Linked DNA regions of Yarrowia lipolytica. The protein of the gene in region 2 interacts with the protein of the main gene of each other region in a biochemical or structural test. Links are inferred from orthologs where the notes say so. Each region holds a gene or a part of one and is shown on either strand. Other genes may lie near its edges.

The links.
Region 1: of the proteins of YALI1_C08600g (region 2) and YALI1_E16773g, one has a biochemical effect on the other in vitro, tested with the Schizosaccharomyces pombe proteins (2 studies listed by BioGRID). The link is inferred for Yarrowia lipolytica from reciprocal best matches to the Schizosaccharomyces pombe genes cdc25 and srk1.

Annotation. Positions count from the first base shown.
Region 1 is NC_090774.1:1,675,474-1,692,382, forward strand, and holds YALI1_E16773g (uncharacterized protein), read right to left. Parts: upstream 3,065-16,909; coding exon 2,718-3,064; intron 2,217-2,717; coding exon 2,120-2,216; intron 1,869-2,119; coding exon 597-1,868; downstream 1-596. Other genes in the region: YALI1_E16750g (uncharacterized protein), read left to right, coding at 1-169; YALI1_E16820g (uncharacterized protein), read right to left, coding at 5,158-6,570; YALI1_E16841g (uncharacterized protein), read left to right, coding at 8,639-8,665, 8,712-8,906; YALI1_E16854g (uncharacterized protein), read left to right, coding at 9,983-11,119; YALI1_E16900g (uncharacterized protein), read right to left, coding at 11,171-14,575; YALI1_E16919g (uncharacterized protein), read left to right, coding at 16,420-16,909. UniProt on the Schizosaccharomyces pombe protein: Delays the mitotic G2/M transition by promoting nuclear exclusion of cdc25. During osmotic stress, inhibits the G2/M transition in a sty1 stress-activated MAPK pathway-dependent manner.
Region 2 is NC_090772.1:853,133-869,637, forward strand, and holds YALI1_C08600g (uncharacterized protein), read right to left. Parts: upstream 7,392-16,505; coding exon 7,264-7,391; intron 6,881-7,263; coding exon 5,377-6,880; downstream 1-5,376. Other genes in the region: YALI1_C08523g (uncharacterized protein), read left to right, coding at 1-767; YALI1_C08548g (uncharacterized protein), read left to right, coding at 1,703-3,328; YALI1_C08702g (uncharacterized protein), read right to left, coding at 16,003-16,505.

The DNA.
Region 1 (16,909 bases), on a different chromosome or scaffold from region 2:
AGAACTGAAGACGGCCTTTCAACCGTTTGATTTCACCAAATATGTGCATTCGGAGGAGGAGTTTGTCGAGGTTTACGGCGAGGAATATTTGCATCTATACCAGGAGAGTCTGAAGGAAAAGCTCAAGGAGACTGGCAAGGGAGAGAAGAAGAGAAAAACAAAAAAGTAGACACGGACACGCATTATAGACATCAACTAATATACACACATTTACATCTACAGCACGAATATGTACCAATGTATGTACATACATGAATGAGAAGCATCTACAAGTACAAGTACCCGTGCTCATACAAGCACATACCTGAGTCTTGTCTACAATTTCTGTTACAAATAGTCATACATACCCTCACTTTATTACTGCGAATTATCCCTCCAATTCCTTACCTTTGTGTGTCATTGTGCAACTCGAGCCCTGCTCTCTCTCGCACACAAGGAACCCGTAGATCCGTGGTGCAAACTGTCCATCGTGCTAAAATGTACAAGTGCAAACGTTTGATTTTTTGAAGTCTCTGGTTGATTTTTTGCCCCGTTTGATTTGTAGATATAAAAAATGCCGTTCGATAACTCAGAACAAGAGCGACAGACGCTGCGCGCTATGCAACACCGGCAGCGGCTCTCTTTCGCTTCTCAAGCAACGTGGCGCCGTCAAGTTTGAGCTCAAACACGCCTGATCGGTTCTTTTGCTTCTGGCGCTTGTGGGCGTGAGGGTTCTCGGCCACCGACACTCGAGACATGCTTCCCTCCAGAGTGTCGTCTTCCTCGTCCTCTTCGTCGGTGATGATTTCGGTCAACATGCCGAGATTCTTGGAGCCGCCCATTCGGCGACGTCGCGCATTCTCCTCCTCCATTCGATGCACTGCGTTGGACACGTCAAACACCTCCTTGAGGGTGACAGTGGCCGGCGACCGATACGTTGCTTGAGGATCCTCAAACGACGACGTGGAGGCGCCCTCGGCAGGGTGCTCGACATGCAGAGTTGATGCAGAGTCGTGGGGTTGAGGATCTTCGGCCTCGACGTTCTCTCGCGAAATGGCAGTCGTGGCGGGAGTGTGGCCCTTTCGCTGGTCCAAAATGGACGCCATGGGAGAATCCAAAGCAGGATGGGTGGGCTCGTTGCTCTGGGTGATCCAGGGATGAGCCAGAAAGTCCTCAATTGTGTACCGACGCTCGGGATCGACCGTCAGCAGATGTGAAACGAGATCCTTGGCTCCCTTGGAGATTTCATCCCACCAGGGAGACAGGAAAGTGTATTGTCCTCGAGCGACCTTCTCGGTCAGAACATCGATACTGTCGTCGTAGAAGGGAGGGAAGCCACACAGAATAGTGTACAGAACGCACCCCAGAGCCCACATGTCGACAGATTTCGAATACCGCTCATCCTTGACAATCTCAGGAGCGGTGTATCCAACAGTACCACAAGGAGTCATGGTTTTGCTGTCCCAGACCACCTTGGAAAGTCCGAAATCAGCCAGCTTAATAACCCCAATGCCTCCGGCTCCCACGCCGGGAATGTACTTACCCTCGTCTTCCTTGCTCTCGTCCTCACCCTTTCTCAACACAATCTTCTTGCTGGGGGTGAAGGGAGCAGGGTAGAAGAGCAGGTTTTCGGGCTTGATGTCTCGATGCACCACTCCTACCTCCTCATGCAAGTATTGTACTGCTTCTGCGACCTGGACAATCACGTGTCGGGCCAGGTCTTCGGAAAAGTACGTCAGACGCACAATCTGGTGGAACAGCTCTCCTCCAGGAAGAAGCTCCAAAACAATGAAGTAGTGGTTTTCACTTTCGCTAAAATCAATGAGCTGCACCACATTTTTGTGCCGTAATTGACGCATGATTGCCACCTCCTTGAGGATACTCGAACGCTGAGTTAGTATTTTGCGACTGCGGGTATAACCACCTCAATCCCTGATCCTTCATTAACCCACCTGTGTTGCCTTTTGTTCATGCTTAGCCTTGTTTCCTAAATGTCGCGACTTGTGTCAGTGGTGTCTTTCTTTCCTGAGTGTAGGCACAAGCATTCGTTTCTTCTCTCTCTCTCTCTCTCTCTCTCTCTCTCTCTCTCTCGCTCTCTCACTCTCTCACTCTCTCACTCCTCTCTCCTCACAAGACTCACCTGATTGGCGTTTAGTTCAAATTTCCGAATGACCTTGACGGCCACCTCCTCCTTGGTCTGGAGATCCACTGCCTTGTAGACAATGGAAAATGCGCCACTATGTTAGCATGTTGAGATAATGTACTAACCGCACACTTATGCGGGTTTAGCGCGGGTGGTATTTAGAGCCCATTGGCGCGTGAAGCACGGAACAGCGCTACAAGTACACTGGGTATCAGTTCTTCTTGCGTCGTCACGTGTCTCAAACGCCTCCACCTGTTTTGCAGGCCATTATGCTTATTACCAACATGGTTGGAAATTCGCGCTAGTGACATGTGACTTGTGTCAAGTGGTGTAGTCAGGTCCGAGTGTGTGGATGTAGTAGCTGGACATGGCCAGACACTATGTCCTCACCGTCCATAGTGAACATGATGTAAGCGAGCGTGTCACAAAATAATTAACAAGTTTGAGCACACACTTTAACCATACTCCCATCATCACACCATGACCCAAGGAAATTGAACGACAGACATCCAGAATGGCCATATATATGGCCGTCGTAAGCATCCGCCTGTCACCATACACAACCCCATGTTTCCCTCCCGTTTCTCATACTCACTCTCCCATCTTTTCAATCAGCCTGTATCTCTCGAGTCCCGGGTAGTTGGGAATTTTGCTCTGTTGCAGCTTCTCCTCCTCCACAATCTCCTTGATCGCGTCGTTGTACTTCTCCTTGTCGACTTTTTTGGCGGGAGCAGCGGCTTTGGCGGCCGGTGCGGGCTCCTTGGTCTGAGCTGCGCCCTCGCTGAACATTGTGGTTTTGGTCAGCGGCTCACTGTTACTGTGGGTGATGGCGGGCGGTTGTTGGCTTCGTCGGCCCGAGTTACGGGACGAGATGGGCTCCAGGCCGTTCTGGGCCTGTTTTCCATGCCGAATGAAGTTTTTGAGGTTTTCAAAAACGGGCATTGTGTCTTATCAGAGGCGTGGTGGTGGTGTCGTGAGTAAGTCAGAAACAAGAATTGGTGTCGGTGGGAGAAAGGAGTGTTTTGACTGCAGGTGCAGGACGTGAATGTTCTGGGGATGCGAAGGTGGTGAACGAGGGGATGGTGGTGGAGTCGTGGGGACGCCGGTTGTGAGATACAAAGCAGTACAGTATGTCAGCCTACGGTTATCCCTACGTCTCCTCTCAAGGCATACCTTGATCGCTACTTGTACTCCTCCTCCCACTCATCGTGGGTCATTGCTACAAGGCTAGTTTTTATCTTTGCCGCATGACGTTGCGTTATTATGGCACACGGCTGTAGTGGGGAAGTTGCTGGCGAGAAGAGTGGCTGGGGGTCAGGGGGGGGACCGTTCACGATACCAACCGTGTCTCGGGCCTTTGTCCGAAGGTCATGGCCGCCGTTGTGACCAGTCATTTCCGACCGGTCAAGTCCCTGTTAACCGAACCCCGGGCCTTCCATTGACGTCATCAACACATGCGACACTATGTACCCGTACAGGCTGCTATCTATGCAGGTTGCTGGAAGTAGCAATGCACACGCGGCATGGTTTGGAGCAAAGAACAATGGAGCAAGGAAACAAAAATATTAAAATATTTAGAGTCTTGTCTTGTATGTGGATACTTTGGACCCGACCGTCTGCGGCGCTCAAATCCCTGAGTTTTCGGGCGCACATGGCACATATCCGCCGCAATGGGGCTCCTGGGCAACAGAATTTGAGACTCTCCCCTCTCTCAAACCGACTGTCTAATCAGGCAAGGTACCCGATCGACCGTCCATTTAGTCTCACAAGCAATGAAAAATAAAATAAAGTCGCGGCTTTATAGTTGGCCCGAAAGCCAGGGTGTGCGTTTTTCGAGACGGTCTTTTGAAGGGCGTAGGAAAACGCTACGAGATTGCCGACAGTTTGTGGGACCGCGATTGACCGTCGTATTTCGATTCCACAGCTCACCAAAAAGGCATATTCGCTACAAGATCCCAGAGACCCATCCTTCGGTTTGTCCCTTTGTGCTCCATGCATGTCCGATGCCCCCCGAGATGGCGTGTCGTCATATGACATGAACCGCACAACAAGGGCGTTTCAGGTCCTCATTTACGCGAGAAGTCTTGGCCAATACCGTGACAAAATGGGTCCTCCTAGAAGAATTTATTAGAAGAAAAAAAATACGAAATGGGATCGTCCTAGATGCCCAACAAGACTCCTTGCCTTTGCCACCCTAACGTTTAAACGGTGTTTCAACGGCGCAATTCAGTACATGCATACCACCACCGAAATGGGCTACCAGTAGCTAGCCATGATACTGTGCCAACAAGGAGGTGTACATTGGATTAATGGAGATAGAGAGATCTGAAATGTCGGACTCTGATGGTCCGTCACTTCCTGAACCCCAGCTCACGTGAAACCCGCCCTAACAAACCTTGACGACGATCCTTCGGCTCGGATACGCCCCAATACGATGTAAGGGTTCCAGACTGGTGGGCGAACACTTAGTTTTCCAACAATAAAGAGGGTAGTTTTGTGAGCTGGCGGTTGGCCCTTGTAGAGGGGCCATGGGACCTGTAAAATCGCACCACAACAACCGCACCTATATGAAAAGGAGAAGATCAGGCTACTTCATACAGTACTTGTGCGATTGCAATGTTCTGGCATCATAAACCTTCCACTTACTCACGAGTGACTAAGGGTCCTTAACATGAAGGGCTACGCTGTCTTATACCATAATCATAGTGTGTCTGACAAATAGCAGTTTGCCTGCGTCTTGTACTTTTGACCGATCTTCAAGTATGTTCTGTAAAGTGAATGCAAGTCTGGTGCACTTGTAGCCTTGGTTGGTTGATTATATCTTTACTTGTACTACTTGTAGTAACTGAAACAGTTGTGAGTAATGAGTAGTACATATACAATAGACCGCCCCACTCGGAGCGTTCCTCTACAACCCTCTCAGTTCATCTCAAACCCACAGTTGGGTCAATAATAATATATATATTACAATAATTTACCGTGGTCCGAATGACCAAGCTATATTTTGGAACGGCGTATGGCATTGACACAACAGCCTATTCCATGGTGGTATCGGCGTCAACAGTGGAACCTTCAACATCCTGCTGCTGCTGCTGGCCAGGAATGAGCTTTTCAGTTCCCTCAGCCTCATTCACAAACTTTCGCTCAGCAGTGCCGTTTCCATGACCCTCGGGATGCGAGAAGATACAATTGTTGTTGGCACAGTTGACGCCATACTTGCATGGCGTCTCCACGGGATGCATGAAGATGCAGTCCATTCGGGTGCACTCCTTTCCGTTTCGACAAATGGTCTTGGACATGGCATGTCGGAACCGACATTTGGGGTTGGTGCAGTAGTTGTTGAACTTGCACTGCTCCAGAGTCTGGCCTGAGGGAAGAGACTCATTCTCACGCACCAACGACGACGACGGATGGTTCTTGACACACTCAGGATCCGCACAGTGCTCCTTATTGTCGCACCACGCAAAATGGTCGGTGATCTTGGCCTCATTGTTGCATGGAGTAGGATGGCCATAAGTGCAATGCTGGTTGGCACACCGGTCTGTGAACCGACACTCCATGATGGTCGTTTTCACGGGCACCTGGGGAACCATGACCTGTTGGGGGCCTTGGGGAGTCATCATGGGCATGAGCATAAAGCCCTTGGGAACTGCAGGCTTGTATCTCTCATAGGGCACCCACTCAAACGGCTTGGGCTGCTCGGGAAGGTTGGCCAGATCATCGATATCCTGGCCAACATGCACCTTGAGACACGTGCCAGGAGGAGCAGCACACGCTCCACCGTTGGCAAACGCCTCACATGCCTCTGTGGGATGCACGTACTTGCAGTTATCGTAGTTGCAGTTGGGCCAGTTTCGGCACCGATGGTTGAACCGCTCCTTTGGCGGAAGATCCATCGACAGCGCTTTCTGCATCGTCGCGAACATGGCCTGCTGTGCGTCCGTCGGAATGCCTCCTACAGAACCCGTAGGAACTCCCCCGGTAGATGTGGGCTTGCTCCTGATGCTATATTCCCCCTCCTTGCTGAATGCCTTGGACACGCCGTTTCGGCCGACCCGATCCTTGAGCGACTTGCCCACGCCTCCAAACGCACTTCGATCCTGTCTGCCCTTGAAAACGCTCTCTGTTTTCCGTCGGCCAGGCATAGACCCCACGCTGTATTCATCCTCCATTTCTGTGTCCTCCTGTACCGCACCGCCGTGTTTTGCCACGCGACCCATTTCGTCCTTGCACCACGCCACAAAGTCGTCGCTGAGCTGCCCCTCGGTCATTTGCTTCACCTCTGACTTGATTGTGTCCTCGGTCACGTAGTCGTCTAGCAGCATCATCACAATGTACTGCCCCAGAGTCGGGTCCTGCTCTGAGCCCATAACCTGCGTGGCCCGCTGTAAAATGTTCTTCTCAAACTGCTCCTTGAGAGCATCGTCGTTTTTCAAAATGTCTGCCATTTGAAAAGTTGTGTGTATGGTGGTGTGTATGGTGTGCGGAGGTGCTTTCTAGAACCACATGAGAATCTCACTTTTTCAACCAAACTTCGTCACGTGAGTTACCCTGCAGGTTGGTAAATGTCTTGATGGAGGCTGAATTAACAGTAAAATAAGGTTCCAGAGAACTTTACCTAATATATCGATATGAGGTATCACATGATCTAAGAAAATATCGCTCTTTTTCGCTCATAACCTGTACCCCGCCACGGTGTTGCGGTGGCCATTGTGTCCGAAAAAGAAATTGTTAGGGATCAGCGGCTAAGAAATAGCCGCCTGATTAGTCTCTCGTGAACCGCTAGCGGAGACTACGACGAGGGGCCACCACGTGGGCCCTCAGTGGGATTACGCTATCATTAATATCGATATGCCAAGCCTGCTATCACGGACAAAGGGTTGCGCCGCAACCCTGGATAACATATAAACCCCTGTATTCCATGTATTCTAATACACCTTTCTTGAGAGTGACGGCAGTGACCATACCTTCGGTATGGCCACCCCGGCTGAGTCATCAGTCGGCTTAGTCACGGGGCCTGGGGTCTAACATCTGGTAAGGCCGATGCACTTGTTGTGCAATGCGATTCTGGGGCGAGAACCAGGGCCAGGGGAAGTCGGTCAGGTTTAAACGACACAAACACCTACACCGCTACGGTCCTTCGAAATTCCGCAAGTCACATACCGTTGCTGCTGCCTCAGTTCAGGTCATCGTTCCAAAAACCCCGGAAATTTTTTTAGGGGTGGCTGGGTTACAAGTAGAGGCGAGTGGGACCAGGCCTCTCTAGTTGTCGGCGTCTTTTTTAGAGGGGTAAAAGATGGTGGCACCCTGGAGTCCCGCAGTATCGAACAGGCCTCTGTGGGAGGAGGGGAGAGTGAAGTATGCACGAGTGGTAGGGAGAGTTGGCATGATCATGACTAACTTTCCAAGGATGAGAGGTGGAGAAGAAATGCCGATGGCTTTTATCGAAATGTATTTGGTGTCATATCGTCTAGCAGTCTCATCCTGTCGTCGTGGGAGTCACGCTCCGGCTGTCGAGGAGCTGGCTCAGTGAGTGATGGTATCGCTGGCTGATGTCTGTGGATGATGTATCCCAGAGTGACGATGTCGGTGATGGAGCTCACGGCAGTGCGACATCAGACGTGGCGTCTGCACTGAGAGTAGCGAAGGTGCTGCGGTTCTGCCAGCTTTCCATACCTTCCTACTGCCATAAGGTGGACAGTCAAGTTCACAGGAGTGACGTCTTCTCCCCAAGGAGGCGCGCTCGACAAGAGGACGTATCTTGCACTCGTTGTAGCATGGTTGCTCCGAGTGAATAGCCGACGGTCTTTGGTTCGGCTGCGCTTCATAGGAACGGTTCGAGAGTCGTTTCAGCTGCGGTGGAGGGCATCCCCATGAAGGATTCCGTTCAGCGTTGTCGTCATACTCGGTTACGACGCATCGAGGCCACTATGTTTCCGGGAACTGGCGTGTGGTCTTGATTGCTTAAAGGAGGCTTCATGAGACGGACTGATCCTAGGTCGATGGAAGTTGCAATGTACAGTAACATGTTGGTGAGCGAAGATTAGGCTCCCTGCTGGGTGTCTTCCGGTTCTTGATTGCTGCCAAGGTGTGCATTATCTGCCACCATTAAGGTTTGTGTTGGGCTGTGTCCAGCTGCATAAACACATGCGAACTCTGACGACTATTGTCTCGTCGTCTTCAAGAGCGTCCGGGGGGACGTCATTATGGACTCGTGAGAAAAGAGTTTAGCAATTCAAGAGTGGTCTTCGAATGACACGGTGGCGTACCAACGATTGAGATTCTCTCTAAACTCAGTCACCGGTATTGGTCAGCTCAAGTTCCCTGCGACCTGCTGGTTAGTGTCGCTGGAGACAAGAACTTGTCGCGGCATACCCGTTATCACTGAACTTGGTCATGGCTCGTTCGTGATGTTTCCCCCTGTTTTGTAAGTCTGTTGTGTGGACTTTACAAGTAGTCGCTTCCACTGCCAAAGCCTCCGCTACGTTCGACTAGGTTGTCGTCCTGAGGTGAGTAATGACGTGTTGTTATCGTCATGTTGCTGTTCTAAGGGTTTAGACCAGACTTTTCTTTCTGTCTGTGTCGGTAGATCCCTTGGAGTGTGTTAAGTCGCATTGAAGATGATGCTATCATCTTGAGGTGGGGTGAGAAAGGAACGAAACGGTTTCTGATGTTTCTATTTCTCGTATGTCGGTTTGTTCATTTCGGTGTGGATTGGGATGAACGGCTCAGTGTTATTGCTGAGGTTACGTTGGTACACTACAGCCATCTCTGGTCTGTTTAGAGATGTGAGAGTCTGCTCCTCCGAGGCGAGTTTCTCGGAACTGTTTGAAGCCTAGTCGACGTGGTTGTCGGTTTGTTGATCCGTCAACTGCGAAGTTGGGCTGTGTTTTGCCTTGTTATTCTCAGACATTGACCCCGCGGGTTGATGTCGGTCGGCTGTGATTGTCTCTGGTCATGAGGAGTTTCAACGTGCCTCGTGTAAGTTCTCGCGTCGCTGAGGGCTGCACCTTATTGTATGGATAGTCTGATCCATAAGATTGTTTCACGGGGAATGTTTGTCTTGGACATCTCGACGTCGAATCATGGTTGCTTTTTATCGTGTTAAGATGGAAGTCGCTTCCACGACTTCATCTTAGGGGGGGGGATGATGTTAGGGATCAGCGGCTAAGAAATAGCCGCCCTGGATTAGTCTCTCTGAACCGCTGCGGGGAGACTACGACCGAGGGGCGCCACCACGTGGGCCCCTCAGTGGGATTACCGCTATCATTAATATCGATATGCCAAGCCTTGCTATCACGGACAAAGGTTGCGCCGCCCAACCCTGGATAACATATAAACCCCTATTCCATGTATTTCTAATACACCTTTCTTGAGAGTGACGGCAGTGACCATACCTTGGGTTATGGCCACCCCGGCTGAGTCATCCAGTCGGCTTAGTCACGGGGGCCTGGGTTTTTAACAAAGAAAAAATCGGGGATTTAGCCTCAGTTGGGGAGAGCGCCAGACTGAAAGTCATTCTTCGGTCAGAGTAATCTGGGGTCCTGTGTTCGATCCCACAGAATTCGCAATTTTTTTGGAGATGTTTCAGACAACACACACATTCTCGTTTTTGTCAGTCCGACTGTAAATTCAAGCGGTTGCGGGCTTTTGATAGTACTCCAATTTGTTTTTCAACTTCCTCTGTGTCTCCACACTTCTAGTCTCTACTCCCCTCCTAATCTCAATACAACCCTACTACTTGTACTTGTAGGTGGATACGGTTTGTCAGATGGTGGATAAAGTGCAAACGGCATCAACTCTACCATCTATTACATTCCATATAAGAGATCTGTAAGCGTGGTTGTAGTTGTGGAGATAATGTTCTTTTCGTTCCCTGCTCTTCTGGCTCTTCTGGCTCTCTCAGCTCTTTCAGTAGCTGCACCCTCCAACCCCAAGGTGGTGTCTATGGATGTCTCTAAAAAGACATACCTAGGGTCGGTCAAGGGAAGACCTGGGGTCTATATTTCCACATACATCGGTGTGGGCACTCCTCCTCAGTCATTCGAAGTCAGCTTTGATACAGGATCTTCTGATCTATGGATACCAGCCGTGGGTGATGACCAAACTGGAGGTCCAGGGCTCTTCAACCCCCAGGCTTCCTCCACGTTCAAATCTTTAGGAACCAGTTTCAACGCGGCATACGTCGGAGGAACAGCCCAGGGATACTGGGTGACCGATAATGTCAACGCAGCAGGCCTGTCTCTGTCCAATCTGCAACTTGGAGCTGTTTCTAACATGCAAGACCAGAAGCAAGGAATCTTGGGTGTGTCTTTCAAGCAAGTAGAAATGTCGGTACGAAATGGACAACCCCAGTACTACAACTTTCCGTTTTCCGCCAAAGAACAGGGCTTTATTGACCATGTGCTCTACTCTCTCCATTTTGACGGTCCCCATTCTCCTGACGGAACCTTTCTACTGGGAGGTATTGACCACGCCAAATACTCTGGAGATCTCCATTACTACAACGTCGCCAACCCCAGTGCAGGTCCCCAGATTAATTTCAAGAGCCTCGTACTTGGCGGACACGAACTCGACTTCAATCTGCCGGTCACACTGGACTCAGGGTCGCTAGCTATTGCCTTTCCAGACACCCAGTTCAGAGCTATAGGAAGCGGGCTTAACCTGACCAACTACAACAAAGATATGGGTCTGTATTATATCGACTGTCAAGCGGAGATCTCCGTGGACTTCAAATTCGACGGACTCACAATCTCAGCCAACTCTTCGTCTTTGGTACTGCCCATGGGATTCTTCTCAGGGGACACCACAGACCCTTCATGTGTACTGGGAGTGCAAAACTCTGCCCTTTATGAATCTCCGAATGATGCTGTTCTCGGAGAACCTTTCCTTAAGAACGCCTACGTCGTCTACGATTTGGAGGACTACAGCATTGGACTAGCTCCTGCTGTCTACACCGACAAGTCTGATGTTCAAGCTGTCTCCCGCACATTGTAAACAGTTTACAACCTCTTTCTTACGTCAATTAAAACAATGCAATTAACACTCCTAACTGTAACTAATATCGAACATCTCCTCGTCAATAACACCAAACAGATCCTGCATCAGCTTGGCTAGAATCTCCAGCTCGGAGGTGATGGTCACACAGACCAGAATGTAGATGTACAGGAGCGCAAAGTCGTTATCTGTGATTTCCGAACCAGCTGCCATGACGTTGTTTTGCTCATACTCTTCAGGTTGACTGCCTCGATAGATATTCAGTTTGACCATCATACGGTCTCGAGAATGCTTGGTGGAGGGCAAATTGTCTGGGAAGGGGAAACCAAGCTTCATGGCAGAGGCCAGCATGTAGAACCGCAGGAAAATTCGATGACTGAGCTCAGTACGTTCAGCCAGCGTGCTTTTGAGCAGAACAGCTTCATGAGGAGTCGTGGTGGGGTCCTTTTCAATGACCAGTCGCAGGTTCTGGAACGCATCAAGGATCTTCTGTGTTGATTTGAGAATGTTGTCGTACGTGTTCTTAGGGAAACGGCCCTTGAGACGAAACTCGTTGGGGGCATGTTTGAGCAGACCGTCCAGCTGGATCAATGTGTTCTGCAACTGGGGCTGCTCAGCAAGCCCAACCAACCTATACCCTCCAGTAGCAGGATCAAATTGGGACGCCAGCGGGTCTTTCCACGTAAGACCCATTCGCAACCAGAGTGAACACAGACCATGCTTGAGATTGACTCGGGCCTTGTTGGGGAGCAATAGAACAGTAACCAGGAACGCCCACATAACTCCAGCACACACAGAAACGAACCGATGGAAAGCAATAGTACCTACCAGAGGCCTTAGACCTCCTTCATCGTCGTCATTGTCGTTGTCTCCAAGGTACAACGAGTACGAATACACAGCTGTAATGTTAAAGGTGAGCAGAACGAATCGGCCAAACGCATTGTTATCCTTCCACGTAACAATGATGCGGAAACAAGGATAAGAAATGGCAGCTCCAATCAATGCCAACATGTATTCGTTCTCTGGGAACAAAACCCAAGACACATAGGCACACATAGCACCCAAAAACGTACCGATAATTCGTTTCCAGGCAGTCCAAGTAGTGCCTCCTACTGACTTGGACATGATGACCACGTAGGAAATCAACCCCCACTCGCCCCTCCATGTATAGAAAATTGGCTGAAGACTGGGCATATAAGCGGGGGTAGCAAACATAGCTGCTCCAATACCTACCCTAATTCCAAATTGGACATCTCGTCTTCTAAAAACACGCAGGCGTTTCCACAGACGGAACGACATAGACGGTTTTTCGAGCTCTCCGTGCTTTGCCTTCTTAGTCAGAGCACTATTGAGATCATCATGCATTCGCCCAGCAAACCCCTCCTCCAGAAGATCAGATTGTCGAGTCATGAACGCCATGGTCTTACGTCCACTGATGATCTTGTTGACTGCACTCCTCTGGGAAGTTTCTGCCTCCTCTGCTGCCGTCGGTTCTCTATGCTTGCCTCCCCACAGCCATCGGTAGCTTCTCTCGTCGTTTTCACGGATGGTGAGGTATCCCTCTATGCTTCCCAGCAACTTTTGCACCTCAGAAGCCATTTCTTCAAGCAGCAGCGAGAAGTTACCACACGAAGCCGCCACCTGCTCCCAATCAGTGATGAACTCGTCATTGTGCCTTCGCTTAAACAGCCCCAAGCCGTAGACTTCAGCCAGAGCCTTCTTTCTGGCTTCACAGAATAGCTCCTCAGCAAGACCAAGTGATCTCTGGTACTGAGCAACATCCGCCTCGGCATCGCATTTGTCGAGCTCCGAACCGTGCAAGATCCGCTTCATGGTCAGAGAAAAAGACTTCATGGGTGGACCCAAGTGGTATAAGAAGACATCAAACAGATTTTCAGGCGTGATTGTAGGCTCATTGGGTTTTGTAGATGCAAAATTCGGGGAAGGAAGAGAACTTCCAGGGGTAGAAAGAGTTCTCTTCAATGAGTGTCGTTTTCTGATGGGGCTGTCCTTAAACAGCTGGGACAGCTTCTTTCGCGTCAATGTAGAATGCTCCGTTTCAACACCTGAAGTAAGAGCGTTAAGATGCTGATGAATACTGTTCATGTGATGAACGAGCTTCTCCAGCTGGTGGTATTCATCTTCTCGGCCTGTCAAGTACAGTTCCAGCTTCGCATGACGAATGTTTCTGAAACAACTCAGCTGGGCACGCAGCTTGGCCTTGAGCTCAATGTACTCGACGCTGTCCACGTCGACAGCCCGCATAAACTGCCTGGTAAGATACAGAAGCATGTCTCCATATATGTCCATGGTGTTTGAAATGGATTGCTTGAGTTCTGTGACTGCAGAAGTTCTCCAGAGCGTTACACAAACCAGAGCAGACACAGTACAACCAGTAATGGCGAGCAAGAAGATCTGGTTCAGCTGTTCCAAAGAAATTCTGCCCTGCTGCACGTTTCCCTCCTTCGTCAGCACACTAACAAGGCACACACACGCCAGTGAAGTGGCAGTGTTGAAAGTCGGCAAGTCCATTTTCTGCTTAACAAAGGCCAGAGTGCCCAGTCCCACGGCGCAGAAGATGACTAGGTCGATAATGTACGCCAATAGGCGCATATGCAAGTCGACCAGAAATGCCGACACTAACATACTCAGAGAACAGACACAAAAGGAGTACAGCAGGGCGATAGATGCAAAAATAAGAGCCTCAACCATACTTCCCATGGTTCTTCCTGGGTGGAAATAAATAACTGAAGTGGCAACCATATGTTTGGAGTCACCGTTACCCAATAGTCTTGAGAGACGGTCGTTGTAGACGAACACGGTTCCTAGAAGGTATCCCACTGAACATTTTAAGACGACCTTTGCTTCTGGATCGATCCATGCTCCAGTGGCGTAATATTTCAGTTTCCCAAACACTCCTGTGGGCTTTGGTTTGTGTCTGTGGCACATTGTGGGGCTGTCAACTGTCGATACAGCGTAGTTGAAGGACCGTTCGGGGTCCGGTTCTGGCGAGTTTGGAGAAGAACTGCTGTTGGGTTCTCCAAATTCGGTGATACTGTTGTAATTTTGGTACGTTGTCTGGAAATTGTTTGCGTTTGCGTTTGCGTTTGCGTTTGCGTCTGCTAATGCCTCCAGTTCTTCAGGCGTTATCTTGATTGTCTGTGGCACCAGTCGCCCTTCCTCGTTGCTGAAAGTCACTTGTCGTCGTACTCGCTGTCCTGTGTTTGGCAGGATCATGGAGGCTTTTCGGAATAGGGGCAGCGTGATGCCGGCCCTCGTGGCCCATCCCACGGGAGACACAGCCAGACTGGAGGCTGCTGTGCTGCCCAAAAGTCGCTGAGATGGAGATGAGGGCATGGATGTTTGCTGCGACGAGTCCTCACCAGTCTCGCTGTACCACGAGTTTCCTCGAATGGCCAGCGGCCTGACGTTAGCCTTGGGGTCGGGCTGGTTCATTATCGGTTCATAGGGATGTGGCCGACGAGCTGAAAAGGGTTGGAGCGTTGGAGAGCGGTGCTTGAACAGTCAGGGACAATATCCGGATGAAAGTTTGGAACAATAACATGGTCGTGCATCACCCATGCAATTCCTCCGCGAAAGGTGAAGGGACCCAGATGGCTCCTAGACCCGAGGGGGGGCAACATCTATTGCGGTCACGTGACAAAAATATATCAACTGTGGATGGCTGATGGAGTTTCTATGTACTCAATATATGGCTTCAAGCCACCATCTATCACGTTCTGCTGCCCATCTCTGTCAGCCGTGTGTGTTATGTTATTATTTCGCCGGAAGCCAAAACATGAGCCAAAATAAAAAGGAATAAGGGCATATAATTTACACACAAGGCGGACGGGGAAGACTGTGCGTGACAATGCGATCCCGTACAACTACTTGTAGTTCGAAAACTCCGTCAACATGTGATCCGATTGCGACAAGCTAGTCAAATGTCCCTTTCACAAGCACTAAACACTTGAATATACTCAATCGACCCTTGAATATACTCAATCGACCCTTGAATATACTCAGTCAACACTTGAATATCCTCATACTGAGTATCGATCCACACTTGAATATACTCAACCAACCCCTGAATCTACAACTGCAGGTGTCTACAGCATGCATCGTCTGAGGTCATTTTGTACAGTATGTGCGTGTACGAATGCCGGTGCAAGAATCGGAACGAGTAGGACAATTGGAAGCACGAAGACGTGGCTTTTGATTGGCCATTCTGGTGGTTTACAGTCTCGGTTCAAGTACTTTCCTTGGGGTATGTACAGTAGCTATTCGTAGAGCCGTTGTGAAGGATGCCAGAAGTGGTTTAGTAACTACTACTGTAGTTATGAACGAGCACTCGTACCAGAAAGGAAAGACAAGACTTTGAAGTGAGCACCAGGAATAATCTCCAGCAGAATAGTTCATCATTTTTTACAAGTAGCCACAATGCTAGTACAGGTACATCACCCGCCTGTCGTATCAGGACAGATGGTACTTCCTGCAACTCCCAATTCCGACCTCGGAGTTCTCCAGGAAACAGATTATGAGCTACTAGACGACATTGGAAGGTTCCTGGGTATGTAACAAACACAATTGGTTTGCTTGAGGACACACAACAAGCATTCTTCATCAGGTGGACCCTTCTGACTCATCTCTACTCAGCCTTTAGACGCTATTGAGATGTACAAGTACAGTATGTACATATGCTAGTTAAGGAGCAGTTCATACACGTATCTGTTGCCCAATCTGGATAAATATTGGACCAATCGAATGGTCTCAACTCATTAGAATCCAGCCATATCTCTGTCTCTTCCATATTGACCTCATGTCTCGTTTTTTTTCCTTCTTTTTTCCTTCTTTTTTGGGGGTTAATTTAGGCTAAATACCGTCTGTAGTGTACTTATACTTATTCTATAAATGGAGATAGACGAGACGCGAATAGAGTCTTTCTGGAAAACCCATTAAGTGATTCCAAGCAAAAAATCCAACAAAACCCGCCGTACCCCTCTCGACATACTATCGTACGCCCGTACGCTCTCCACTGGTGCACTTGCTGCCAACCACTATCAACGTCACGTTACTGAACTCTATCTGGGCTGTGGCAACCCCAGAAACCTACAGTCCACCTTCGCTGTGCCTGTTGCAATAGGGAGCCAAACACTTGACGACCTGATAACGACGGTCGACGGAGCGGCACAGACACAGAACAAGACGACAAGTCACAAAGAGCCCCACTCCAACAACAGCAACAACTACAACTACAACCACACCCCATCAAACCCCATCACACACTCTCACTGCATACGATGGAATGGCAAGATGAAGCGGGGCCTTCGAGTGGTCCTTCTAACGGCATAGCGTCATCGTCCAACGGACCCTCGTCGCACTCAGACACAGACCTGTATCGAAGCGACTACCATGCGCTCGAAAATGACAAGACTTATATCGACTCTGTGGTGAGCGATCCGGCCAAAGACCTGGATGGAACCCAGAACGCCCACATCACATACCTCGTGACGACCAAGTCCAACAACACGCAGTTCTCGAACAAGGAGTTCCGAGTCCGACGCCGGTTTTCGGACTTTGTCTTCCTTTACAACTGCCTGAACAACGAGTTCCAGGCCTGTGTGGTGCCCCCTCTCCCGGACAAGCAGCGTCTCGAGTACATTCGAGGGGACCGGTTTTCGACAGAGTTCACAGTCAAGCGAGCAGCATCTCTGACACGGTTTCTCTCACGCATAGCACATCACCCCCTGCTCAAACGGTCCAAATATTACCACGCCTTTCTGGAGTCTG
Region 2 (16,505 bases):
GGGCCGCCTGCTTCTCCCCCAAGGGGTCCCAGCTGAAGCGAATGCTGACCGGTATTGCCATTCAGGCCCTGCAGCAGCTCACCGGTATCAACTTCATCTTCTACTACGGAACCGAGTTCTTCAAGAAGTCCAACATCTCCAACCCCTTCCTCATCCAGATGATCACCAACATTGTCAACGTGGTTATGACCATCCCCGGTATCATGTTTGTTGATCGAGTCGGACGACGAAAGCTGCTGTTGATCGGAGCTATCGTCATGTGCTCTTCCGAGTTTATCGTGGCGGCTGTTGGTACTGCCATTGATAACGAGACCTCCTCAAAGGTTCTGATTGCCTTCACTTGTACCTTCATTGCCGGTTTCGCCGCCACCTGGGGTCCTATTGCCTGGGTTGTCATTGGAGAGATTTTCCCTCTACGAATCCGAGCCAAGGGTGTTGCTCTATGCGCCGCCTCCAACTGGCTTTTCAACTTTGCCATTGCCTTTGCAACCCCCTACCTCGTCGACGAGGCCCCTGGATCGGCCGGTCTCAAGACCAAGGTCTTCTTCATCTGGGGAGGCTGCAACTTCCTGTGCATCGCCTTCACTTACTTCTTCATCTACGAGACCAAGGGTCTTACTCTGGAGGAGGTGGACCAGATGTACGCCGAGATCAAGATTGCTTCTCGATCCCACCAGTTTGTGCCTACCACTCGAGTCGCTGCTTACGACGAGCACGCTTCTGACGACAAGAAGGACGGACAGCACGTCTACATTGAGTCTGTCTAGACATTGCAACAACACTATAATGCCCTACGAACGAATAATTTAATCACTAATTTATATTCAGAAGATGATATACTTGTGCGATGGTATATTGAGGCGTGCGGTAATGTGTAAGAACTTTTGACAGGAAACCATTAGTTGGACAGCTGGATATTGGGCTGAGCTTCGAATCGCCGAATACCACCAACTCTCGGAATCAAAGACTCCACTTTACCTGGCCCGGTCTTCTTGATACTCCGGCCGGTGTCTAGACTCCTCGGATCCAGAGGGCGTTCGATGAGTTGCCCAGCTCAGGGCTAGGACCCAGTTCCTGGAAGCTCCCAGATCCTCCTCCAGCTCCACGAGGGTGGTTTGGATCAGAGGACATCTGGAACGGCAGGTGGTAGTTTCTGCATAGAATGAGTGCGTTTACATTCTAGGATGTTATTGGTATCAACAGTTATTCAAGGGCTCTGTTTACAATGTCAAAATCTGGATGGTGAAGAACTGGATACTTCGTGTCCCACATGTACAAGGAATAGCTGTCAAGATCTGAAACGAAGGGAATCGGCCGCCATCAAGCCAATATTCTCTTACCAAGTACAACGGCTCGACCATGAGACTGTAATGTGGTAAGAGACGTTTGAAGTAGAAACGAAATTTGAAAAATCCGTTTAAACTATTCTTTTTGTCAATTCCCAAAAAAATATAAAAATACCACCATCCTTGGAACACCAAACCCCCCCTCCAAAAAAAAAAAAAAAAACACACAAAATATCCCCCACTTGTCCCCCACTTGTCCCCCACATGTCCTCCTCCACCAATGGAAATTGCTCATTTTCCCCTCATCCGCACCTGCTTCAACATCACCGAATTAAGGTTTCAAAATAAGCGCCCGAAAGTGATGGTGAAGGTAAAAAAAAATCGATTCTGACTCACCTCCACAAACCACTACGACCATGATGCAATCTGCCGGTAAACGATTGGTGTCCCGGGTTGCCCTGCGGGGTGCTCGACACTCCATTGCCAAGAGCGCCACCCAGCTCTCTGCCAAGCCCCTGGCTCTGGCTAAGGCTGTACCTTCCGCTCGATCTGTTCACACCACTGCTCCTGCTCTTCAGGTCAAGCAGACTGCCGAGTGGTACAGGACTGAGACCCGAGGCGACTATGCTCGACTCAGCGAGGCCGACATTGAGCATTTCAAGACCATTCTGCCCGAAAACGGTCTGGTGACCGACGTAGAGGACATTGAGATGTTCAACACTGACTGGATGCGAAAGTTCCGTGGACAGACTCAGCTGGTGCTCAAGCCTACTTCTGCCGAGCAGGTGTCCAAGATTCTGTCGTACTGCAACGACAAGAAACTGGCGGTGGTGCCCCAGGGAGGAAACACCGGTCTGGTGGGTGGATCTGTGCCTCTGTACGATGAGATCATCCTGTCGCTTAGCAACATGAACAAGGTACGGTCCTTTGACAATGTTTCTGGAATCCTTGTTGCTGATGCTGGCGTCATTCTCGAGGCTGCAGACATGTATCTGGCCGAACAGGGCTTCATGTTCCCTCTGGATCTGGGAGCCAAAGGCTCGTGTCACATTGGAGGAAACGTGGCCACCAACGCCGGAGGTCTGCGTCTTCTGCGATACGGCTCTCTTCACGGCTCCGTCCTCGGTCTCGAGGTTGTGCTTGCCAACGGAAAGGTTGTCAACATGCTGTCCAAGCTGCGAAAGGACAACACTGGCTACGATCTCAAGCAGCTCTTCATTGGCTCCGAGGGTACTCTTGGTGTGATTACCGCCGTCTCTATTCTGTGTCCCCAGCGACCTGCTGCCAAGAATGTGGCATACCTGGCCGTTGAATCGTACGAGAAGGTCCAGCAGGCCTTCATTGCCGCCAAGAAGGATCTCGGTGAGATTCTGTCTGCGTTTGAGCTCATGGACGGCCGATCTCAGGGCTGGGTCCAGCAGCATTGCGACCTGACCCGACCGGTCGACACTGAGAGCCCCTTCTTCATTCTCATTGAGACCGCCGGCTCCAACAAGGAGCATGATGATGCCAAGCTCGAGGCTTTCCTGGAGGACGTGATGGAGCAGGAGATTGTCTGCGACGGAGTGGTTGCCAGCGACGAGACTCAGTTCCAGAACCTGTGGGCATGGAGAGAGCGAATTACCGAGGTCATTGGCAAGGAGGGTGGTGTCTACAAGTACGACATTTCTATTCCTCTGCCCCAGCTGTACAACATTGTCGACGACCTGCGAGCCGTTTTCGAGAGCAAGGACATGATCTCCAAGACGGACGCATCCAAGCCCGTGGTTGATGTCATTGGTTACGGCCATGTTGGAGACGGTAACCTGCATTTGAACATTATGACTCGAGAGTACTCTGAGCGAATTTCTCAGGTCCTCGAGCCCTGGATCTACGAGTGGGTATCCAAGGTCCACGGCTCCATCTCTGCCGAGCACGGTCTTGGTCTCATCAAGAAGCATTTCATCCAGTACTCCAAGGACGAGGACAATGTCTATCTGATGAAGCAGCTCAAGAACGCCTATGACCCTAACCACATTCTCAACCCCTACAAGTACATTTAAGTACATACGGGTATTTTGGGAAGACACATAATAATGGATACAAAGAGGTGACTCTATGACCGTTCATACAGTACATACTAGGTGGTGGCACTAAATCGAGGGGTACACCAGATACGTTGATAAGACGTTTTGTCGTAGCGCTGACTAGTCAGGGGAAGGTCAGGAGATCATGGTGAGGTGATATATATGGGATTCAGGTGATCGCGTACGTGTTTGGTATGTGTATTGTGTTCATATGACCAAGCCGAGAGTACTTGTACGTGATGTAAGCAGTTTCGGATGCATTCCAAGCTCATTGTGAATACCTTCGGTGGTTTGTTTACCTTTTTGTTGCTTAGTCAAGTGACGTCAGCGTGGAGCTTGAGGTCCGCTTTTGGACCGTTTTTGGCGCTCATTTCCAACGGCATCGTATCGCCAACACAGTAAAGATAGCAATAGCAACATTTCGATCGCCGCAGATCTTTTTGTGGGGTGAGCTGTTTTGTTTTATAGTCTCAAGTGAGTTTTGGCGACTGTCAGAGAAAGGTTTTATTTTATTTTATATTCTTATTTTTATATTCTTATTTTTATATTCTAAATTTTTATATTTTTGTTGTTTGGTTCTTATATTTCTCCATACACCAACCAAAACAGCTCGCAGACTCGTTACGCCCCACGGTCCGGCCCTGTTTCCCGTGTCGCACAAATGCAGCCAGCCGCCACGTCCGTGTCTCACATTTATTATCAACATCTCTCTTTGTAGCCGGTCATATGGCCATCGCGTTTAGCCCCGCTTGCGCGTAAAGTACGCCAAACCGATGCGTGCTAAGCTCAGGGTTTGTGGGGTGTATAAAAGAGAAAAGGGCCCGAAAATAGGAGGCTGCTGGGGACAAAGAGACGCGGTATCGCCCACAATGGGCTCTTTGTGGACCACCCTGGTTCGGAGAATACAGCCATCATGTGGCGCAATCTGTTGACACTGGGTTAAGGGCCTGTTAGCGCCGCATTTGGAGCCCTGTTTTGGAAGTGGTCTAACTTGTGCATTTGGCTGGGTGGAAATCGGAAGGTTGAGACATTTGGGGGTGTTGACGCCATCGCATTGGAGACCAAGCCCAAGAGTGATGACTAATGCCAATAAACAAAAGACTCCTCCTCCAACAGCAATCATTTGTCCATAATAAAGCAACCTACAGCCTCAGTGCCCGTGCTGTATCGGAATCGTACGTACATAATCGCACACCCTTTTGGTCAGCCCCACCTACAAGTAGGCTAACTTTTACAACTTTTACAACTTTTACTGGTACGGACCGGGATACGTGCACCCCAGTAGCTCCGTTTCACACTGCGCCGTCAAGACGAGTTATTAAGTACCCGCCTTCCGTCTTGTTTAGCCCCACAATCCCCGTACAGCACATCCGCCCGTCTCTTCCGAGGCTCCTTCCCCTTGCCTAAACAATGCACTCTGATTAAGCAAGCTAATCGTGCCAGTATCGCCAAAATAGCAAAGAGCAAAGCAAACAGGATGTGAAAAACAAGCCGAAAAGAGACGAGCAATTGAGACGCAAAAGAAGCGGAATGAGCAACTTTTTCTCCCTGAACTCGACCAATAGCCGACAAGACCAAAAACTCGTGCTACCCTGGCCAAACACTAGCTTGCGGTATTTCGCCATAGACCAGCTGTAACATACTTACAGTGCGTGCACATGAGGCGGACAACAAAAGTAACCACCCCAATGGTCTGATGATGAATCCATAAACAAGTGCGGTAGATGCTGCCTGCTCTATCGAGACACTGAACTTTTAGTTTCAAATGCGTCGCCTAGGAGGGTGAAGAGTACTCGTGCTCGTACACTCTGCTATACCGGCTTCCACACACAGCACTGCCTACACTGCTCAAACTACTTGTAGTGGGTATAATGTATTATTGTCAGTACTTTTATATCAGTGTTCTTTTGATGTCTCTGGACCGCTGCAGGATCTCAGAAGACACTGAAGGACAACCATCAAGGCTGCCCCACAGAAACCTGTGTGGAAATTGATCAATCGAAGCAAGTGTCTCTGGATGCACATCATCGCCACAGCTGGCAACTCACCACCCGCTTGGGTCGATGATAGTCTACGTTTTCGCTCAGCGAACGAGACAACCCAACCGGCGAACAGATGACGCCCTGCTGCTTGTTGATGGAGCTTTCGCTTCGTAGCTTCATGTGACGCCGGAATCGGCCCATCTCTCTCTCACAGGTGCTCTTATGCATGGAATCGTTCATTTCGACGTATTGGGGAGGGTAGCACCGTGTATGGAACTGCTCGAAAAAGTGGTTGTAGCCGCCCTGCAGAATCACCACGTCGGGAAAGTTCAGGTGCGGGTAGTTAGTCATGTTGAGCCGACGGTCTCGGTTTCTCAGATGCATGGCCATTCGCGGGCCTCGGTGAGCAGAGTACTCGCAGTGGAAGATCAACAGAGTACGTTTCCGGGAGTCTCCGCCCCGCTTGCCGGGCCGCATCATGTTGTTGCAGTTGTTGCCGAGAATGCCCTCCTCGTTGGACAGCAGCTCCTCCAGTCGATCCTTGGAGTTGATGTTAATGGCGCCGTCAATGTGGCCGCCATCATACTCGTACTCGAACCGGCAGTCAATCACAACGTGGCGATCGTAGTAATGCGAATAGTGACCGTCCAGAATCTGGACCAGAGTCTCTCGCTTGATGCGTCGGAAGGGATCGCCCTCGACGGAAAACGACTCCAGAGTGCAGTCAGCGGACACAAGAAAGGAGTCCACGTTGTTATTAACGTCGGGCGACAGCGAAAGGCGTCGAACCATCTCCTTCTCCTCGTCCAGCTCCTCCTGCATAAGCTCCTTGGGGTCCTGGAACATGGAGTGGGTTCGTCGGGGCCGCTTGAACTTGGCAGCAAATGGCGTGGACGACGAGTTGTATGACCGCTTGCATAGCGGGTTGAGAGAGGGCCGTACCGGCCGCGCTGACGGCGTATCGTTAATGTCGTCAGCGGTGACATCTGCTGCGGCAACAGCACCCGCACTCTCGTCTGCCGCGCCGCCGAGCGTAAAGCCGTTAAAGTTCAGACTATGTGTGTTGGAGTGGCTGGTGCTTCCTCCCAAACGGAAGTTCTGAGACAAGCTACCAAGGCCATCCTCGTCTGTGTCCATGCTGCTGTCGGCCTCATTCATGGAGTGTGTGAAGCGGGTGTTGGCAGGCGAGTCCAGCTCAAGCGAGAAACGGAACGGCTTACGTAAGCTACCTTCCTCGTCAATGGGGTCGAACGAAACGCCGGCGCTGGTGAGCCGCAGACTGCTGGTGCTGCGGTTGTTCTTTCGTAGCCGGTGCATCTGGATGCTGCTGGTGCTGGTGTTACTGCTGGTGTTACTGCTGGTGCTACTGCCAAAGGTGGTGCTACCGTCCGAGCCAGCGGACAGCGGCGACATGGGCTCCATCATGCTCATTGACTTCTTCATGGGGACTCCACATGGCGTCGAGGAGTCGTTTGGGGGAGGGAGGTTGAGAAATGCAGGGGTTTTGGCGGTGAATAGCGAGCGTCTTGGAGTGGGCAAGGTGGGTCTGCGTTAGTGGTGATAATTAACTGCACGCTGTCTGCGTGTGCGTGTCCCATGTAAACGGAAGTCTACAGTGGTGAGAAAAGAAAAAGGGCTTAACTGGGGGAGACAGTCTGGTGCTTGATGTCATGAGTAAAGTCCAGCTGATTCCCAATGGTATTCTGTGTTGACATTGTTACAGCAACGTGGTAACGATAACGATTCACAGAACCCCCGCTTGTCAGCGCATTGTGACTTGGCTGGAAATGCTCAGGTTCATACAGTCTGCAACACATGGTGGGAACTCATGATGGGGACTCATGATGGGACATGTGCTCAGAATCAGAGCGATTTGATCACCATCATCCCCATTAACCCCGCCTATCCCTCTCCTGGTTTCATACTCACGTCTCGATATGAACGGCGGCAGCGGTGAGATCTCCCGCCATGCAGGCCGGCGAAACCAGCTTGCGCTTGTAGGACGGCGAGTCGTCAAACATGTGCCGTCGTGACAGTGGACTAGTCACACTTTGCATCCTGTGTTAGTGTGGATAGGAGATCAAGTTTGTGAGCTGGTTTCCTCTGGCGCATGTTTGCCTTTTGCCCATTAGAATTAGACTTGGTTGTTGGGCCAACCACATATTGGCAATGTCGAGTACAACTGGTGCAGCGGTTGGAGACGTTGTGTGAGACATGGCGTAGCAGGTAGGAGCTGTAGCAGGCACGCGTGCTCGCAGCGGTTCTTCGGACCCATTGCATGGTCAGAGATCATGTCACCGACCAGTAACCATTGACCATGCTAACTCGACAAGACCATAGCTAACCCATGACCACCCCGACAAGACTATGCGGACCGCGAGGAGATCATGACCAACCTCAATCGCCCTCGCTCGCCTTCACCTCACCCTGATCCTCACTCACCTTTTCCTGATCAATCAGTCAGTCAACCTCGATAGCGGCCGGCAGCCTCTTATACTCACGTCTAGGTTTGTAAACAATGGCGGCCAGCCCTGTGTGATTGCTAGACCCTGACAAAGAGACTGTAAAGTTTTGGACCGTCAAGTCTACACCATTGTATTTGGTGGAGACAATAAAACTATTGTAAACATGGGTGACAAGGGAACCACACTTGGCCACAGGTCGGTCATTGTATTCAAATAATAATAAAAACGGAAAAGACAAAAAATGGGGAAAATGGGAAAATAGAAAAGACAAAAAAATAGGCCGTTTTCACTGTTCAGATTTTCGCCTCAGTAGAGTCGCGGGTAGGAGAAACAGGACCAAGTCTGACGCTGATGAGCGGGAATCATGCATTTTTTTCCAACCAATAACCCCCAAACACACTGCTTAGCCGGCACCAAAATGCCCCTTGCAACACGCCCACCAACTCGTGTCACGCCAAACACAAGCTCGGTACACGGTCTGTGCACGTTGCCAAAAAAAAATCAAAAAAATGTAAAATCTACAGTACGACTACGTAGGCTACTCGCACCCTAAGCCCGTCCCTAACCCTACCCTGTAATCTCCCACTTCCCCCATACCCTAATCCATATTTACACTCTCGTTTTCTCTAATCTGTATGTGCTTGTTCGACTGCCTGTCTGACGCATCTTGTGCATCAACTGTCGAGATATGAGCAAGCGGGGCGCTGTATTTCGTGTGGCAGACGCGGCACGCATGTTCCTGAGTCAACTAGTATAACACCTACTAGTAACACACATTTTAGTGAATATGTGATCTCGCATGCATCAAGCGTCTACATCCAGTCCCTGATACCCTTCCCCCCACTCTACCCCATACATCACGCGTTGCTGTGGAATTTGCCTCGCGAGACTTGCTGCACCACAGCTGCAGCTGCATCTCACCGGTTTCCGAAAAGAGCTGGAGATGGGTGCAGAGATGATCTGCAACTAGTGATGATGATTGAGGGGTTTTTCATAGCCACAGGTGCACCAAAGCGGCACAGGGTGGTGGTACAGATATCACACTGTACCAAAAGCAACACGAAAAGTGATGCGTCTGGTTGCAGCTTGCTAGCCCTGCATCCACGGAATACATGGCGCGAGGCCCACCCGCTACAAATCTCGCAATTATCGTCAGCTCGCAGAGGGCCCAAATCCGCCTAGTCAGTTTTTGTACAGCGTCGGCTCACTACGTCACAACGGCTACAGTGTGTCATGGTTTGATAGTTTCGATCTTGTTGTGCACACAATGCCAATGTAAAAGACTAACCCAAATACTATAAAAAAGGCTATCCATGAATACCAGATGGGAATAGAACCCCTAACCCTAGCAATATTCCTGCATCATACACTGTATGGTGCCGTCGATTAGGTGAGGATGCCAACCGAATCAGCATTCCGGTGTACAAAGGGCAGCTGGATTGATAGAGGGAATACGCAAAACTAGGGGAAATGCAAAACTATGAAAAGAATAATAAAAAAAAATACCTAAAATAGGTAAATATCGAAAAATAGGGGAAAAATCCGGAAACTATGGGAAAATACACCAATCTACTGTCGCCAGACTTTGTACGGTGAATCAGTCGGCGATTCCTACCTTCCGTCATACCGCGCCATATCGACTCTATCACGTAGCCGCCACAATTGACTTCTCCGAATCCATCAGTTTGACCGATGGACGCTGTAACGTTGTGATAATTTGATATAATATACTAATATACTGGACATGAGGAGAGCGTGACGCCTCACCTACGGCCCTAGTCTGTAACACGTTGTCCCAGAATATCGGGAAATCCGGCGATCAAAATAATTAAATATTGGATCAAGTCGTTCTTAGCGACCCGGCCATGTATCGTACGGTACACTGCTATCGTACAGTGTACACTCTTCCATTGACGAACCCCCCTGACATGGTATGTCAAAACAAGCCCGTGGGGTCTAACCTGACTCGACGGACCGACCCTCCCACCGTGTCTAACGCTCCCCCAACCATACACACGTGCCATACGGAGGTGTTGCTGCAGTAACGGTTGTCCGGAACCGGTGCGCCGACAGGCACCGATCATCTGGTTGGTGCGTCTGGCTGCTTCTGGAATGCCCGACGGAGTATTCTTGTGGGGAGGTGGTTAGGTAATCGTTCGGGTTGTCATAACAACGCATGTTTGGTGCCACATGGTGGGCTGTCCAACTATTTGTGGGCGGCTGGGTGGACGGTACACTAGAGGAGATAATAAAAGGGGTTGTGCAAATAAACCAGCTGTGTTGTGGCAGGGGGGGCTTCGCCTTTTTCTTTGGCACCTGTGACAGATGTGGGAATGTCGGTGGAGTGCCGACTGCATATTGAACAACAAATCAACAAAAAAGCAAAGACAAACAAATGGAAGACCCCCCAAAAAAATATGTGCACACACCCAGGCTGCGGTAGGGCATGGTCGTGGCAGCGATCAAAGAGGTGTCAGGACCCAAATGGATCTAGCCCGTGCAGATTAGGGCCCAATTATGGCGCTAATCCTCCGACAGACTTTTTCCAGCCGCCGTCGATAGTGTCGGAACATGTCACTTTTCGGAGACAGATTTTGTCACCAAAGGCCCAAATCGACCCCGAAAACTCCAAACAGGTGAATCCACGTCTTCTTGGCAACATCCTGATACATTTGTGGCAATTTGTCTTCTTTTAAATGTGTATTAGTTCGGAAGGGAGTTGGTTAGGTTCCCAATATGGATAACGGTAGGGCAGAAACTAAAAGACAACAAATACAACAAGCGGATATAGATAATAAGTGGAGCTGTGCTGATATATTTTTTCTGGAGATGAAACGGGGACATACCCGACTGTTCCCTGAGGCATTGCTGTGGCACTGCTGTGGCAATTGCCGGGACAAGTTGTTTTCGCCGCTTCCATGTGACCTGAAAAAAAAGAATACCGAATCGGACTGTTGTGGGACAAAAGATCCGATATTGGAGAGATAACACCAAACGGCATAAAAAAACGGCAATTACTGGAGTAATTCACCTTTTTCAATCGGTTCACACACTTCAATTGCAACCAATTACATCATTGACACTACTGCTAACGTCTCACTGAGACATGCCCTCCAATCTCAGCTGATCCTGGCACTGTACGACGCCCGCCTGATCCCAAGCCATCTCTTCCACAAGTAGGGATAAAACAGACCCAAAGAGGCGTAATAGGGGGCCATATTTCTCCTTGGAGTATCTCTCTTACCTCCTCAAGCCTTCATACTCGTACACCTGTACCCCTCATAATACTAGCGGTACTCGAGCTCCTGCCCGGACCGCTTAGTCAGCTCAGCCTTGTCATACGGCCAATCAAATCAAACCATAAGCCGAAATTGAATTCTAATATTAGCCCTGGTAGTTATTTTCCCGTCCTCTCGTCTCACACAGACCAATATCGCCTACAGTTCGCTTGTTTCACCTGCTGACAGGTACCCGAGTTTCCGGGCGCTTAGTTTGCAACTGGCGCTCTGTGAGGTGGTCCAGTACAGTCCCGTCGGTTCCATAGCATATGCTGGCACTGTACGTGAACATTTTCAGTTGATTTTTTGCATGTTTCACGCGTACTTGGTTTTGCGCGTCTTTTTTCGCGACACCGCGTATAGAGTTCAGATAAACTTCACCACTTCAGGGGTATACAGGCACTACATACAGGACCTATTGATTCTTTGAAGCCTCCAAGAGGTTTGTCTGGGTCCAGATTGTTTGGTTTTTTTTGTTGTTTTTTGTTGTTTTTTTCATTCCATTTCCCATTTTGTCGTCTTGTCGTTTCTGCGTCTCCCGCGTCGGCCACTGTCCCCCTTGCTCAATACGTCGCACTGTACGGGCACTAAAAGTTTTGGGTTAAATGAGAGTGAAGACTTTGCTGCATAGGCCGGTTACTACGTACGTGCAAGATGGATATTGAGGGTCAGCTACAATGCACAATGTGTGTCTCGTATGTGTGACATTGTTTTTTTCTTTTTAGTGTCGCACAGACCCCGTACGATACGAGTTCCGGCAGGCTGCAACAATTGCTCTAGGTACCGGGAGCCAGATCCATCTTGGTGCGAGTACGCGTGGGTGACTGTTGGCGCTATTAATACCACTGCCCGGAGTTATATCCTTTAAACCGGATCTACCTCTTAGAACACATGTCCATGTGCACAAACGAGGCGTAGTTCGTACGGTGTCGTCTTTTTTTGAAGCAAAAACCAGTCTGTATGGAGGTAGCGTTGGTGAGCAAATCGGACGTAGGGTTCGCAGACCCATTTCTCTCCAAAATCCAAGTGCAGTGACGCACATGGGCTGTCTTACAAGCTGCTAAAAATACAGAATCCCAGGCTGAAACCGTTGTACAGGAGGTTTGAGGGTTTTTTGGGCACTGTGGGGAGCGCCCCGGCTCGTGGATGTGGAGTCTTCTAAAAATACACACCTGATGGTGTGTGAATAGGACCTTGACCCACTTTAGACCGTGGACCCCACGGGTCCCGGTATCACGTGACCGTCGGATTAGAAGACGGGCTTATAAATACTTTTGCTGCATGGAGTAATCGAGAGCAAGTAATATTGAACAATCTTTTACAATTCGATATAAATAGCTCCATATTTGTTGTCAATTTTTTAATATTCTACCAGAGATGGAGACCCCCACAAATATCCAATTGTCATCAGCTATTGTCTCTGTGGACCCCCGAAAAAGTTCGAATTAGCCGCTTTGCGCTATTTGCATAACCATCCTCCAAGGTGCAAGCCCTGGCGGCGACGATAATACTGCCGACAGTTCGAATCTGTGCCCCGCCGCGTGCAGATCGGTCATCTGATGGTCTATATTTGTCGTTCCAGAAGAGACCGGGCCCTCTGCCATCTTCATGGAGATGAACTTTCAACCCGGACGGGGTTTAATGCTTAGTGAATCGGGCAGGTTATTCTTCTCCTTAGCATGATATTGACAAGCAGAGAACTGCTGTAATGTTTGCAAGGGTGGACGCGTGTTCAAAATCACTCTCTTCATCCACGTTTGTGCTGAGTATCGGATACGGCTGAGGATCGACAAGACTAGCCCACGTTCATAAGAGATACAATAGTGCCAGTTATAGATGAGGCCTTTACGCTTGTTTATATGTCTTTTAACAACGCAAACCAAAAGCCTCCACCTAAGTGAGCATTCCTACAGCCCAATAAACTACCGTTAGCGAGCGCATAGCGGACTGTTAGTGTCCCTGCTGAATACGGTCGACAGGGTGCTGTTTTGGTTGCTGTGGGCCAGCTACAGTAATTCAGAGGAATGTCAAAGGTTCATCATGTTCAACCGGCAAGTCTCAGTGTGTGAGACACCGATGCGACTTATTATTATGGCTCCTTCCTTCTCTTCATCACCGACTGTACTTATGTACTTATAACACGCACACTACCCCATGGGCCCGTTGGCACCTACAGCAACAGCAGTTGATGGCATTTCGCGATCTAACCCGGTCAAGAAATCGGGCCTTGCTAAAAGTACTGTGCCGAAACTTCAGAGGCATAACATCTTTGAGCCGGCACCATACGTTTCTACTCGTACTGCATGCTAACCAAGAGGTAAATGACTTTGTCTATACCGAGAACAAAACCGACTGTGGGTCCTGGAAGACATGAAGCCCCAAGAGGTTCAAATTGGGGGGGTCCACAGAAATCACATGCAGTGTCCCTCGGTTTCTAAAACACGGCTCACGGCGTATCGTCTCCATTTGACTGCCCTGCCGACCTGGCATAGTGCATGTGTGGAATGCACAAGATGTTGATACGCAGAAAAAGAAACGACAGGCAAAAAGTAAATCAGTGAGGAAAAAGCAACCAGTTAGTTTCCATCCAGGAATGGAGTTGTCAAAGTGATACAGATGGACATTAAGCAGCATGTCCAATCCGCATGTTTGGTTGCTTCATATCAAAGACTGCTATGTCAATATGTCAACAGATGGTTGCAAAATGGTTGCTTGACGTGTTCGCATGAGCTACCTTGTGTTGTGGCTGGAAAAATGGGGTTTGGTTCACAGTTTTCAACTCCATATACTCACCATTGCCCACATTTCTTCTCTCATCATAGCGTCACACCCAGAAGTCCTCGCAAACACCTCCACTCTGGTGTACCGTGGACTAACTTGGAGTCTAGAAGATCTTGGCGGAGGAAGAATAATCACTCATTTATCATGTTCCTCTTAAACCTTTGCATGTATTCCTCCACGGCTTCTATCATAACTGTTGGTTACTAGTACATACGATTACGGTATAAAACCACGGAAGTGATGATAATATAGCTCCAATCAATAGATAATGGAGAACTTTGTGGATCCGTTCAAAATTAGCCCCAGTCAGTACCGATTCATATAGCTTCCATACTACCAGAGCCTTCTCAAGTACACTCTCCCCTTGTAGTTCTCCTGTGAGAACCATAGTTGGTATTCATGCTCAAACAAGTTCTCTAAGAGTGTCTGAAATGTCTGAATTGCTGTAAAAGTTGCTGTAAAAGTTGCTGTAAAAGTTGCTGTAAAAGTTGCTTTTTTATGAGATACAAGTGCTCTCTTTGGGCCTATACTCATACAAACAAAACGAGAGGTTGCAGGTTAGATTTTACAGGTGGGCAAACTCGAGCTGTTAATGGAGAGTTGAAGATGCGGTTTACGAGGGTATTCTGATCCGGACATCAGGTTTCATATGTATTCTGATCTTGAAATCAGGTTTCATCTTTAGATAGCTTGGAGTACCTGCTCTTATATATTTCGACAGGTTGAGATCCTCCTACTTTGAAAGAACCCCAACATGGAGCCCATTTCCTCCAAGTAAGAGAGTATCTCTTTATCAGACTTGTCTACACTTACAAAAACCGATTCTCAAAGTCTGGAAGGTCCTCTCTCGTACCACCGACCACCCAATCGTGTTTTGAAGATATGATACAGATCGACCTCTCCAAGCATTATGTCGAGCTGACGAGGAAGGATTTACTATTAAACACGGCGGTAAAAAGCGGTTCTTCTGGAGATATCCTCCATTGCAACAAGTAATGTCACTACTTGTAGCTACAAGGGTCATGTCTACACTGTACACTACCGAAATGTCCCCGAAAGAGACCAACATTATGACGGAACGACCGGAGAAAAGCGGTCGGCTGCCCTGATAGAAAAGAGCTTCCCACCAAGAGGTTTACTACTGTACTAGAAAGCATCTTCCAGGTCAATGGGCGAGGTTGGAGATAGAAACCCCCGAACACGTCGAAACATCTCAGCATCTGTACATCGTCGAGCAGATCAACTTCTATAGGACGTAGTAGCGGAAGATATACAAAAGGGGATTCAATAAGTTTCTGAAAATCAACAGTACCAAAACTACTGCTGCGGAATGTGAGACACTGGCAAGAACCTATGACTTAGATCGCGTTGGAGGAAGCAGAGAACACTACGAAACGAGAGACAAGACATTGATCTGGCCCAACCCCTCAGAAGATGAAAGATCAACATGAACTAAGCAAGAAAAGATGTATCAGACACTTATGATATCAGAATAAAGCAAGGGACGAAAACAGGATGAACGTCCAGATGATCCCAATGATCGACTCTACGAAACGGAACTCTGGCCGCTCTCACATTGTTAAAACATGACAATCAACTTTTGTGCGCTCCTCTAATTAATACATCAATGTCCTCAATGCTTTCCGACTTTTGTTTCTTCTGTAATTTCCCTGTTTTGATACCGACAGAGATACCTACAGTTGTTACAAAAATTAAAACGGATCATAAAAGACGAAATATTAACCTAAATCCAAAGCAAATTCCTAATTCTATTATAATAGACAGCAAGACAGCTCATCCACGTCTTGAATCGCTCTATTTCCCAAAAAATTGAAAATGACGCATTTTGGATATTCATGGCAAGCTTTCCTAAAGCCGTCAAGAATATCTTGGGCGTCTGGTGTAGTTGGTTATCACATGCGCTTAGCATGCGCGAGGTCCCCGGTTCGATTCCGGTGTCGTCCATCTTTTTGCAAAAGATGAATATTCATGTTTGAGAAGTTTTTGCTATAACTATCCATTCGTTCACCGTAACAGCATTGTCTTAATCATGCCTTACACGCGATACCGGCTATATATCACAGTCGTTTTCATACACAATCAAATATTATTATAATGGTTATAACTTATCAACACCAATCCCTCTACATGATAATCTCGGGCTTCTCAATGTTGCCGGAGATGGTCTTGTGGGGCAGAACTCGGCCACCGTTAACGTAAACCTCGTCCTTGACCTCCACATCGTCTCCAAAGACGGAAACGTTCTCGATTCGAGCCCATCGGCCGACACGTCCGTTCCAGCCAATGATGGAGTTCTTGACGAATGCATGGGGCTTGATGGTAGAGTTGGCGAGAACGACACATCGAGAGAGTCGAGCACCCTCTCCGATGACGGCGCCAGGTCCAATCACAACGTTGGGGCCAATCTTAGCCTGGGGAGAGATCTTGGCAGTAGGGTCGACCAGAACGTTTCCACCGGTGACGTAGGGTTCGGAAGTGGGGACCAGAGCCTCGGGGTTCTTCTTGGACAAAGAAGACAGGTAAAGACAAGTTCCGGAGAGGAAGTCCTTGGGCTGTCCAACATCCATCCAGTAGCCCTCCAAGTCAAAGGAGTACAGAGACTCTCGGGCAGCCAGCTGGGGGAAAG